Rattus norvegicus: one gene and its partners. The protein of the gene in region 3 interacts with the protein of the main gene of each other region in a pairwise test. Links are inferred from orthologs where the notes say so. Each region holds a gene or a part of one and is shown on either strand. Other genes may lie near its edges. The genes, in order: Fam13c, Mrpl53 and Kif2a.

Region 1 (3,651 bases), on a different chromosome or scaffold from region 3:
TACAATCATATAGAATATAGTTACATTTTAATAGCAATTGTATACATCTCACGAAACCATTTCCCTTATCAAAGATGTAATTTGTAAACCTCAAATAGTTGTGTATCTGTCCTGTTACAAGTAGATGACTTCAATTAAACAAATTTATGAAGGCCATTACTCTGATTCATAAAAGGTTGAAAACGTCAGGTGAATACAGAGAGAACAACACGCTCTGACATAGTCCGTGTCTAGAATCTGTTTTCTTTTCTCCGCCCAAGCAATATGAAAATCTTGAGTTTCTTCAACACCATGCTTAAACATTACAGAAAACAGAAATATGAACAGTGCTGATAATGAGAAAATGTCTATCTGTTACTTGATTTCACAAAAACCAAACCGAGACGTTGGTGAGTGGAGAAAAAGCAAGATACACTGACTAAAGCAAAGAGAAGGTCTCTTGGTGACTTCCAAGCTTCTTACCCTGTGCAGAAGGAATGCAGCTCACGAAAAAGGTATTTCACTTTATAAAGTACAGACCTTGGAACATTAACAAAGATGCATATTCCCAATGGAAAAATAGTTATAGGATCTTAGTATAGGAAACAAGAAAATCAGCAATAGTACTATGGGCACAGTAGCTTATTACTGCAGACACATCTATCCAAAATACCTATTTTAATAGTTTACTTTAATATAAACATTTTTCAGTTATAGACAAAGATAATTCACAAAGTACATGCCATCCAAGTGAACTTTGGTAACTGGAAATGTAAATTTTCAAATAACAGATAGAGTGATGCACTACTTCCATAGAAATAAGAGGTTAGCAGTGACACAGCTGAGTCACTTTACAGTGTTGACCGTCTACAGACTTAGAGGACAAGGTAGTGGATGTCATCTCACTTAAATTCCCTTCTGTCTGGCTGCTTTCCTCCCTGAATGTAGAGCACAAGTTTTCTTTGCCTCACCAATGTATTTAAACCGTGTTCTTCACATACATCAATAAAATCAACTTGGGGACACCTCTAAACCTTTCCTAAGCAGGTAGACTGCCTACGTGTTAATTTTGGTTTAACAAGGTATTAGACGTCTTTTGAAACAATTACATTTGACTCTGGACTTCAGTTTGTCATGGAGGCTTTTGCCCATTCCAATATTACCTATCATTTCCCTATTGAGACGCCTTCTTGGGTAGAATTACGCTAGCTCTCCCTTCATCAAAACAGCTAATACTATCTCTAAAGTGCTTCCGCTTTCAGGACATCAGAACTACTGAGCAAGAACGGTAGAGGAAAATAAATTTGACTTCTATCTTTAGAGGAAGTGATCAGAGCCGAACCTCAAATTGTTTTGGCCACATCCTGCTTGCTGATGAGGACCTCCAACAGCCTCAGTTTGGCTTTTATGTGCTTGTATGCACAGTACTCGTCTGCCATTGGCATCCTGTCTTCCTTCTGTGGGCTTCTGCAGGAAAGAAGACACAATCTATTAGTCAATACTCGAGCCAGGTCTTAAAAAGATCCTCTTATAACTGATGGGCCCGTGGCTTCCAGGTGGCTCTCTTTTAATGGTGCCTTCTTGACGTCCCTTTGGTCTCATCCCACCCCTGCTCCATTTCTCTAAGCAGCAGCAAACGTTGGCCACGTGTCTTTGCCAATACGAGACCCCATGCCTGAGCACAGAACAATGGTGCAGGTACAAAGACTTGAAGAAAAGGCAATGGCTAGAGCCTCCAATATGGCCTTTCCTCTCGTCCTCTTACTTCCGGTAGTTCCATAATCGTCCTGAAAACACTGCAGGGATTCAATTATACGAGTAACCCATAAGTTCATAGTGGCAAGACCTTCCCAGGGGCTGCCTTGTACGCTGGGAATGTTTCCAAGTTTCCTTGTGGTTAGACCTGTTTCTGCTGATGGGAACTCCTGTCCCTTTGACGGAAGTAATCATGAGTCCAAATCATTTGAATTGAGACCAGTGCCATGGCTCAGTGGGTAGTGACGGTGACTGCTACCAAACCTGATGGCCTTATGACCACTTGGTGGAAGAAAGAACTGACCCCCCAAGTTGTTCTCTGGTCTCCGTTCATGTGAACACATCCATAGTTTCAATTGCAATGGCTCTCTTTCTGCACACTAATTCAAAGGCTGGGCATGTTTCAATGCATAGACCTTGCTTGGTCCACACACAGTTGGAGTGCGCTTGTCCTATTACCATACTTACAGTGTCGCTACATGTATAGAAAAACAATTCTCATGGTCGTTTTAGCTTCATAAATGGATTAAATCTTAGTGGTAAATCGTCTTAAAGAAACAAGATAACGCTATTGTCTTGCCATGTAACACAGTTTAGTGTTAATAAATGAGCGTTTTCTCATTGAGATGACATGTTATCACCACAAGAGGACATACAGTTTCACGTAGATCAAGCGTGGATGTATGTTAAGTAGGTTTAGGCAGTGTAAGTACAATGAAATGAAGTGTTCCCTCACTGCAGTAGGGCATGGATGAGCAGCAGTCCTGGTTTTCTGCATACCCTTTCTTAGATATAACCTGATGCATGGACTTACACAGAGCCACAGTCAATGACTACTACTAAGAACAGGGAGAACGATTAAACCACCATTGTTGCCAAAAGTCATGTGAAATAATACTGAGAGATCCACAGGCAGACTCGTCACACTGAAACCTCCCAGAATCCATTGCACACTGTGTTCGAACGGGTCCATGTGTAAATTTCTTCAGGGACCTCAAAGTAAAGAAAAGACTATGTGTGTGGCTTAAACCTAATTAACTCATTTTTCATGCAATGACTATTTAAACTCAAAATCCTGAACCCACAGCAGATGTTTGGCTGAATGAAGACCCTCCCGCTGAATAACTTTAAAGAGGAACTTAAATGCAAATCAGATGTGTGCTTAGAGCACCTAGTAAGCCTGTCGCTTTGCCTTGCCGAGCCACAGGTTTCTCGCCTGGGAAGCCTACTGCTGATGGATAGCAAAAGAGAAAAGCTCCCAAGGACTGTGAAGCAAGCCCTCTAGGTGGACGTCTCACGATGCTTTAGTACAGTCCCGCTCCCTTACAGCTGAGAGGAAAGGACAGCAAGGCAGGCAAGAAAGGCAGTAGATGCTTAGAACCTCGTAGTCATCTGCCATTTAGATTGTGACTTTGGCAAAGTCACATGCTTGCGAGAATGTCCAATCTTTTGACATTTTTGCCCAGTGTTGTTGTCTCCCAAGTTCAGGCTGGAAAACACACAACCTCGCTTTTTAAAATTTTTTAAATAAATGTCATTGTATTGGGTTTTGTTAGGCCATTTGCACTGCCGTCCTCTGGGAGTTGTGACAAGTTAGAAACGCTGATGGCCAGGGCGTTGAGACTAATGTCCTGTCATAGTCCTAGCTTTCAAACTTATCCCAGGAGACAAAGTGTTGCAGCTTATTGAGGTCAGAGACTGAGGGCAGCTAAGTAATTTGTCTCTTCTCCAAAAGACACTAACATTCATTACCTGATTCTATATGGAACTTTGTTGGTAACGCAATAAAACAAATTACTAGGAATTAATGGGTGTATTCCAACAGCTGGGTTGGGATAGAAAAATATAGGAAGACAGGTGGGCCAACTAAATATTTAAGGGAGCGAAAAATAGCTATGAACTTTTTGACTAAAGCTT
Region 2 (2,867 bases), on a different chromosome or scaffold from region 3:
TTACTACACAGACCAGGCTGGCCTCCAGGAGGATGAGTAAGAATGGAAAGTTCTTGCTAAGTAGACCAGGCTGGCCTCTAGGAGAATGAGAATGGAAAGGTCTTGCTAAATAGACCAGGCTGGCCTCCTGAGTAGCTGGAATAGTGTGTGCCAATAGATGGGGCTGGCTCCTCTTTCCTCTCAGTGCAGACAGACCAGGAAAGGGAGGGATAGGAGAGAAAACACTGAACTTCTAGCCTAGAAGGCTGAGCAGGGAAGTCAGATGAGCCAAGAGACTGTTCTACTTGAATGTTGGTGGCAATATGGAGGAAGTTGGCAGAAGGTAATCATAATCAGAAGATGGGATTAAACCAAATAAAAATGTAGGGTTTAAATCCTGAGTAGTTAAAATGACAGCAGAATGGGTGGCTCCATGAGAGTGAATGGAGAGGAGACACTACTAAGAAAGGTGAGTACTGAAGGCCAAAGGTGGGGCATGGCTGGAATCCCAACACTCAGGAGCCTGAGGCAGGAAAATTTCTTTCACATTTCTAGGCCACCGTGGTCTTCATATCAAGTTTTAGGTTAGCTCATGTAAGACCCTCTCTAAAAATCCAAGTGAACAACCTAAGAAAAACAGCATTCATTTGGCAATAAATATTTAATTAAAATGTACGTGGGTGACAGATTCAAATATGGTTAAGCAGTGAGAAAGAAAAATTCAAATTTGTACGGACCCTTCACCACCCAATCTTATCTTGCCCCAGCAGCACTGTTGTTAGGGTTCTTGCTCAGTATCATGACCTCCATGCAGCATTTAGAGTGATTAAGCCCAGCTCTTCTTAAACCACTGTCTTTAGTTTCAAGCCAACGTCGGTTGTTGGGATTCTTCTACAATGTCATCGGCGGGTACCCGTACCTGGGGCGACCTTGTCTGCGCTGGGTGCAGATGCTGCTGCGGCAGCGTTCCTAGCCCGAATGTGGGAGGCCAAGGCACTTAACATTTCCTGAGTGGTGAGGTGGGCTCCTCGCATAATCAGCCGATACCCATCTCCTGGGGAAGATGCAAAACGATGAGTAAGGGACCCGGAATATGTAGAGCTAGGGTCGCGCTCCGTCCTCGCCCACCAGTGTCCCTGTCAAGTTTACCGAATAACACGTCCACGCAGGGCTCAGAGCCGTCATGCCTCACGTCGGCGATCACAGAGCAGTTGAGGTTGGTGGCGCGGACTTTCTCGCTGCTCACCGCCTGGAGAAAGGTCCTGCGGTGGGAGGGCAGGGTAAGCGCGTCCGGGGACCAGGGAACCTGGAGCAGGGACCAAGGTGTGCGCGCGAGGGAGGGAGGGCGGGACTGAGATGCCCAGGAACTCCGGGAGGGGGTCGAGGGTGCGCGCGCACGTGTGGGGAGCGCGGACGCCTCCCACCTCCCCAGAACCTGTACCTTGTTGACTCCACGTTCTTCTCAAACGGGCAGAACTGAACTCGAACCAGCTTGACCGGCCGTAGTCCGAGCCGAGCCAAAGCCGCCGCCATGGTTACCTCCGCCCCGGAAGGAGTAGCACTGGGGATCCTTTTATTGAAACAGACTTCCGGTGGCCTCCGGGGTACTTCTCCCGGCTGCCCTCCGGGGCTGCCAAGGGGCCCAGAGTTGGTGGTCCATAAATACTTTGGCCATTAGCAGTGTTCTGTGCCACACACAGCATAGGCAGTGAATGTGTAAGACCCCCCTACGTACGAAAACGCCCTTCAGCCTTTTCAGTGTCCTACCTACTAGATCTAGGTCAGCACCATCCTAAATCCTGGCTCCTTCCGTTGAGAGGACGATCACAGCAGGGATTGTCCACCCACCAGAAGGCAAGCTTTGCCCAGGTAGCAACAGCCAAAGCTTAAATGTCAAGGTCCTGCAGCCTAATGACTAAAAGTAGAAATGAAGAAGGGGTAAGACAGGTCCCTCCACATGTAGAAATGTTTGCTTCCTCTGTGTTTCCTCATGAATTAACTTTAGCCTTGCTCCTGGGATTCAAGAGAAAGCAAGTAGCTTGCTTCCGTCTCCTGAGAGCTAACCCTATAGACCCCCTTCTATTTCTAGCTCTAAGATGTCTCCATTGTTTCCGACTTTCAGATTTCAGGCTGTAGTTTGCCTATTACTCTGAATTGCAGATCCTAGGATCATCTGGGGTTCAATTCCAGACTCTAGTTTATGAACGTGTTTTATCAAGCGCCCAGTTTTAAGCCTCTCTAACATACAGTTCATTGCCTGGGGCAGGGTTTGGAACTCCTGGCTCTGGTCAACTTAGGGTTCAGGACTTGTCCCTAGGCAAGAGAAAAAAGGCAGGTGCCAACGAGGGTGTTGGTGCAGCCTCAGGGCAAGCCAGGCTTGCTGGTTTCCAGCCAGGTAAGCCTCAGGACTAGGTCCTCCTCCCCCTCCCCCTCGCCCTCCTCCCCCCAGGGTGCTTAGCAGGTGAGTATTCTGGGCTGGGGAGACTCCAGGCCTTAGAGGGGGTGCCAGACTTTCCAGGCTGTTGAGGCTGCTGGTGGGCAGTTCAATGGTCTGGACCTCATTACAAAAACCTGAAAAGCAGGAGCGGAAGGCGGGTTGGTGGGTAATGCTGATGCCAAATCAATGGTGAGACTGGGTGTGGGTCTTTTAAAGCAGTGATGGAAGGGGTTTAGAGACACCTAGGGTTGAGGAGGGGCGATAACTCACAGCAACGGTGAGGTCTTCTCTGGACTGGATTCTTGGGCAGGGGTTGCTGCAGAAGACACAGCAGGGCCCCATCCAGCTGCTGGAAGATGCTGAGTGAGAGCAGAGTCTGGCGAAGCTCCGGGGACAGGCCCCACTGCTCCTGTTCCAGAACCTCTCTGACCACTCCGAAGTCTTGTTTGAG
Region 3 (4,368 bases):
ATTTGAACACAAACATCCAAAAATGAGCAAGCACTCACCTGTTACCCACCTGAGTGTGGGGTCATGACAGATGTACTGAAGCAATTCCTAAGACCATTAAATAATATCAATATCCTGGCTCTGGTTGAAGTAAGTGTGGGTATCTTCCCATGCCTCCAAAGCCTTCTCTATCCCAGGGGCTCTAAACGTTCTTGAAGCTGCAACCCTTTAACATACGTCTTCATGTTGTGGTGACCCCCCAACCATAAGACTACTTCATTGCTCCTCTATATCTGTAATCTTGCTACTGTTATGAATCATAATGTAAATATCTGATATGCAGGATATCTGATAATGTGACCCCCACAGGCTGAGAGCCACTGCTCTACACTGAACGTCTACTTTAGTCATATAGTTTGAAAACATATTAAGCAGTACAGTTCTAAGTATCAATGCTTAAGGAAATATGCTGTCTCACGAGCAATACAGGATGACATAGGAATTCAGAATCCCACCCACTGGCAAGCAGATTTCAATCATCAGTGAGGACTTACTGGGATTAGCGTTTTTTGGTAGGATCTTCAAAGATACGAATAGGCCCATTTTGGTTTATGATTTGGCCTTTGGAATCTTTTACTATACGCTATCACTGATAGGAAAAGCTGGTCAGGACAAAGACCATACATGCAGTGCTGTATCTATTACTAGGTTAACAGCAGGTTGAAGTGGCCTTTATTTATTCCTGTGATTTGAGTTTTCAGGATATCAGTGTTTATTCAACTACTAGGTTCATTTATTTAATTTTATTGTTTTGCAATAAAGGAAGCAAAAAAAACAGCCTCTTTAAAGTAAAAAGAGGGAGGGCTTGGAAGTGCCTCATAGAAATGAAATTGAACACTTTCAATTCCAGTTATTTCCTTTGAAAGTTACACACTTTTTAGGACTGAGAATGTAGCTCAACCGGTGAATGCCTGATCCCTGGAACCTCACAAATTGGTACTCAGGCGGGAGGCGGGAGCTGTTCAAGGTCCTCAGCTACAAAAAGTTCAAGGCCAGTCTGAGACCATAAGGTCTCCAAAACCAAGAAATTAAACATGTTGTTTTTAAAAAGTTACCTACTTGGGCTCTCTTGCATCCAAGACATGTAAATATTTACACTGTCAGTTAGGGCAATACACACTGTACAGACTCCCCTACTTGGTGAGGGAGAACACTTTTGAAAATGTTTTCTAGGTTACTCTAACTTGGACTATAAAGCTTTTTGTGTATCACAATTTCTGCTATAGGCTGAAGCTAATATCCTAGAATCACCAAAGAACCAAAATTACTTCAAGTCCAATACATAGTAAAAAGCAAATGGCATCTCAGATAAATTGAAGCAGAGAGCTCTTGACTATCGAGTTATTTTTTTAACGATTTCAGTAACTGCCATAGTTAAGACCTTTAAGACTGTGAAGAACATACATTTTATTATACTTCAAGTTTTAAATTAACTCGTAAGTCCTATATTTGTTAATACACAGCCAACCCACATTCACCAAAAAGAAAAATGGCATATTTAAAAGAAAGTAATCTGCAGAGAATTGATAAAGCAAACTCCAATCCAAGTAAAGAAAGCATCCCTTTCCCATTTGGTAACTTCTAAAGCTCTATAAGTTATAATGTATTTTCTCATACACAAAATAATCCTACCAGTTACCAAATTACTGCAGATGCAAAGAGGGAGGGGGAAAAATTAACCATATAAGGTCTTCCAACGCATCATAAATAACAGGAAAACCAATCTACCCATGTATACTGATGTGACTTGGTCAAATTTGGTAGAAACCAAGAACTGTGTGTCACAGTCATGCCCATACTAATTGAAGTAAGGGATGGCCACAATTAAGAAAAAGGAATTGGGTACATGTGGGATGCAGTCAAGAATCAACTCCTAACACTAGCATGTATAATTTCATTCATCCCCTTATACTCAGTATTTCCTTTACAATATAGGTGGTTTTCACTTTACACTTAGAAGTGACAAAAATACCCCCGTCCCCCAAAGAGGGATGAACCTACAGCAACATCCACAAGCCTACGGGTCTTTAAAAGAAATGAATTAAACATGTCTCTTCACCTCGCCTTACACTTTTCTCAGTTACCTCCCGAGGGTGTGAAAATATCAACATCCGGTCGCCCACCCCCACCCTCCCTCTCAGTAGTGTCTCCCGTGGACTGCGTCCATCCTCCTTCCATCCTCTCCTTCCCTTTCAGTATTATCACCTTGGAGAAGCGTATTGAGTATTTCTTTCCGTTACTCCCCCACCCCTTTTCATGGTCGAGTGCAGCCTTCTGTGCACCTGGACCAGCAAAAGAAAGCAGCATGCTTGGGGGGGAGGACAGGCAAAAAGGCCTGACAACCGGGTAGCAGTTAAAGACAACCGGATGGCTCCCCAACGGCCTCTGGCTGCCAGTCGGGTCTCTCGGTGCGGAAACCCCCGATCTTCCACGCTACCGCCCTCGCCACGCCACCGATGCAGAGACCCGCAAAAGGCAGAGCCGGGGCAGTGCGAGGCACGGTCAGCCCTAACGGAGTCTCCCGGGCGGAGGACCGCGAACCCGGGAGCGGCCCCCGCCCTTCGGCCGGGGCCCCGCACTGCAGCGGCGCCCGGGCGGACCCCACGCCCGCCTCATCCGCACAGCGCCGCACACAAAAGCGCCGGGCCGCCGCCTTCCCGCCCCCACAACCCGTAGAGCAATCAAAGGGGCGGTCGGCCCGGCGCGGCCAGAGGCGCGGCTCACCATCGCTGCGCTTGATTTCCACGTAAATCCCGATCTGGATCTTGCCGAAGTTAGCCGTTGCCATCACCTCATCCGGAGCGGCGGCGGCGGGCGGGCGAAACAGACGGGGAGGGGGCGGGGTGGCGGCGGGAGGGGCAGCGGTGGCCCGCGGCCGCGCCGGCCCGGGAGGCAGCGTGGACGCGAGCGGGGCCGCGGCGAGCGGCAGCGGACGAGCGGGCTGGAGCCCCGGGCCTGCGGGAGGGCGGGCGGGCGAGCGGGCAGGCGCGCACGCCGGGCGTCGGGGTGAAGCAAGGGCCGCAGCCGTGAGGCGGCGCGGGGGAGAGTGGGAGGGCTCGCACCGCCCGCCCGGACCGACGCTGGGGAGGCGGGGCGCCGCGCGCCTGCGCACACTCGGCCGCCCGCGTCTTCCAGCCGGGCGCCCGCGCGCTCCGGCCGCAGGCGGCCCCGCCCAGCTCCTCTGCGGCCTGACGGCGGGCGGGTCTGAACCGTCCGCGGGAACGGGAGCGCGCAGCCCGGCGTGGTACGAACTCGCCTCGGGTTTGATTCCACACGGCCTACGAGGCGCGGGAAGCGACTCGCGATTCCCTTCCTGAGCTCTGGCTCCGCCTGGACGCTTGCCGCAGGAATGGGTTGAGGGCCGAGTAATGTCAAGGCTTTCGGGGCGCCGGAGACTGAAGGGACGGGCCCATTACAGGACTGGTTCAGTGTATTTCTGTGGCTGTCAGATCACATGCCACTCGGAGGCCTCCGGTCCTCAAGGAACCTTCCTAAGGGTAGGGCATGCCTGGTTCAGGCTTCCCATCAGTTATGGAGGGAAGAGTGTCCTCCACCCTAAGTAGGAACGGAGACCTCCCCTTTTCCCTAACGACCCAGCTCATTGCAATTCAAAGCGAAGCCCCCCTGTGTAGCCCTCTAACTTGCACTTAAGATCCAGCGGGTCTGTCGTACTATCCTATTGCTCCTGTGGAGCTCAAGACTTATTTGCCCTAACTCCAGCAGCTATGACTCAAAAATCAGAGCAAAGACTTGAAGAACACTGAATAATGAGCCTCTTCTGCAGTCATCTGACTGGACTGACTACATCAGCAACATCTGGAGAGTGCCAATACCCTACCCCTGCCAAGCAAAGGGGCAAGTGGACAAGAGACCATTGGAAACTTTACAACATCGTATAAGCCTGAGTCTCACTGGTAGTGCTTGATGGAAGAAGCAAGTTTTCATGATCTACTTTGCCTGGTCTTTTCCCCCCCAATTCCTTTTTATAATTTATTTTTATCTTATGTATATTGGTGTTTTGACTGTATATATGTATATCTGTTTGAGGGTGTCAGATCCCTGAAACAAGAGTTACAGACAGTTGTGAGCTGCCTTGTGGGTGCTGGGAATTGGCTCGTCTGGAAAAGCAGTTAGTACTCTCAACCACTGAGACATCTCTCCAGCCCTGCCTGACCATTCTTAAGCTGCATGTGATGAATCAAAATATGGGCCTAAGAGTCGAACGTTGGAATATAAGTGTAAAAAATGCTCTTTTTGTGCCTGGAGTTTCCAATCTAATAAAAGCAGTTCAAGTAACTCCTTTGTTTGTTTGTTTGTTTGTTTGTTTGT

The links.
Region 1: the proteins of Kif2a (region 3) and Fam13c interact in binary tests that used the Homo sapiens proteins (3 or more experiments, as listed by UniProt). The two-hybrid records come from large-scale screens. The link is inferred for Rattus norvegicus from reciprocal best matches to the Homo sapiens genes KIF2A and FAM13C.
Region 2: the proteins of Kif2a (region 3) and Mrpl53 interact in binary tests that used the Homo sapiens proteins (3 or more experiments, as listed by UniProt). The two-hybrid records come from large-scale screens. The link is inferred for Rattus norvegicus from reciprocal best matches to the Homo sapiens genes KIF2A and MRPL53.

What each region holds. Positions count from the first base shown.
Region 1 is NC_086038.1:18,064,748-18,068,398, forward strand, and holds part of Fam13c (protein FAM13C), read right to left. Parts: intron 1,447-3,651; coding exon 1,323-1,446; 3' UTR 1-1,322.
Region 2 is NC_086022.1:117,171,692-117,174,558, reverse strand, and holds Mrpl53 (39S ribosomal protein L53, mitochondrial), read right to left. Parts: upstream 1,517-2,867; 5' UTR 1,513-1,516; coding exon 1,421-1,512; intron 1,242-1,420; coding exon 1,129-1,241; intron 1,034-1,128; coding exon 879-1,033; 3' UTR 626-878; downstream 1-625. Other genes in the region: Ccdc142 (coiled-coil domain-containing protein 142), read right to left, coding at 2,273-2,550, 2,687-2,867.
Region 3 is NC_086020.1:40,161,908-40,166,275, forward strand, and holds the start of Kif2a (kinesin-like protein KIF2A), read right to left. Parts: upstream 2,874-4,368; 5' UTR 2,828-2,873; coding exon 2,764-2,827; intron 1-2,763. UniProt on the Homo sapiens protein: Plus end-directed microtubule-dependent motor required for normal brain development. May regulate microtubule dynamics during axonal growth. Required for normal progression through mitosis. Required for normal congress of chromosomes at the metaphase plate.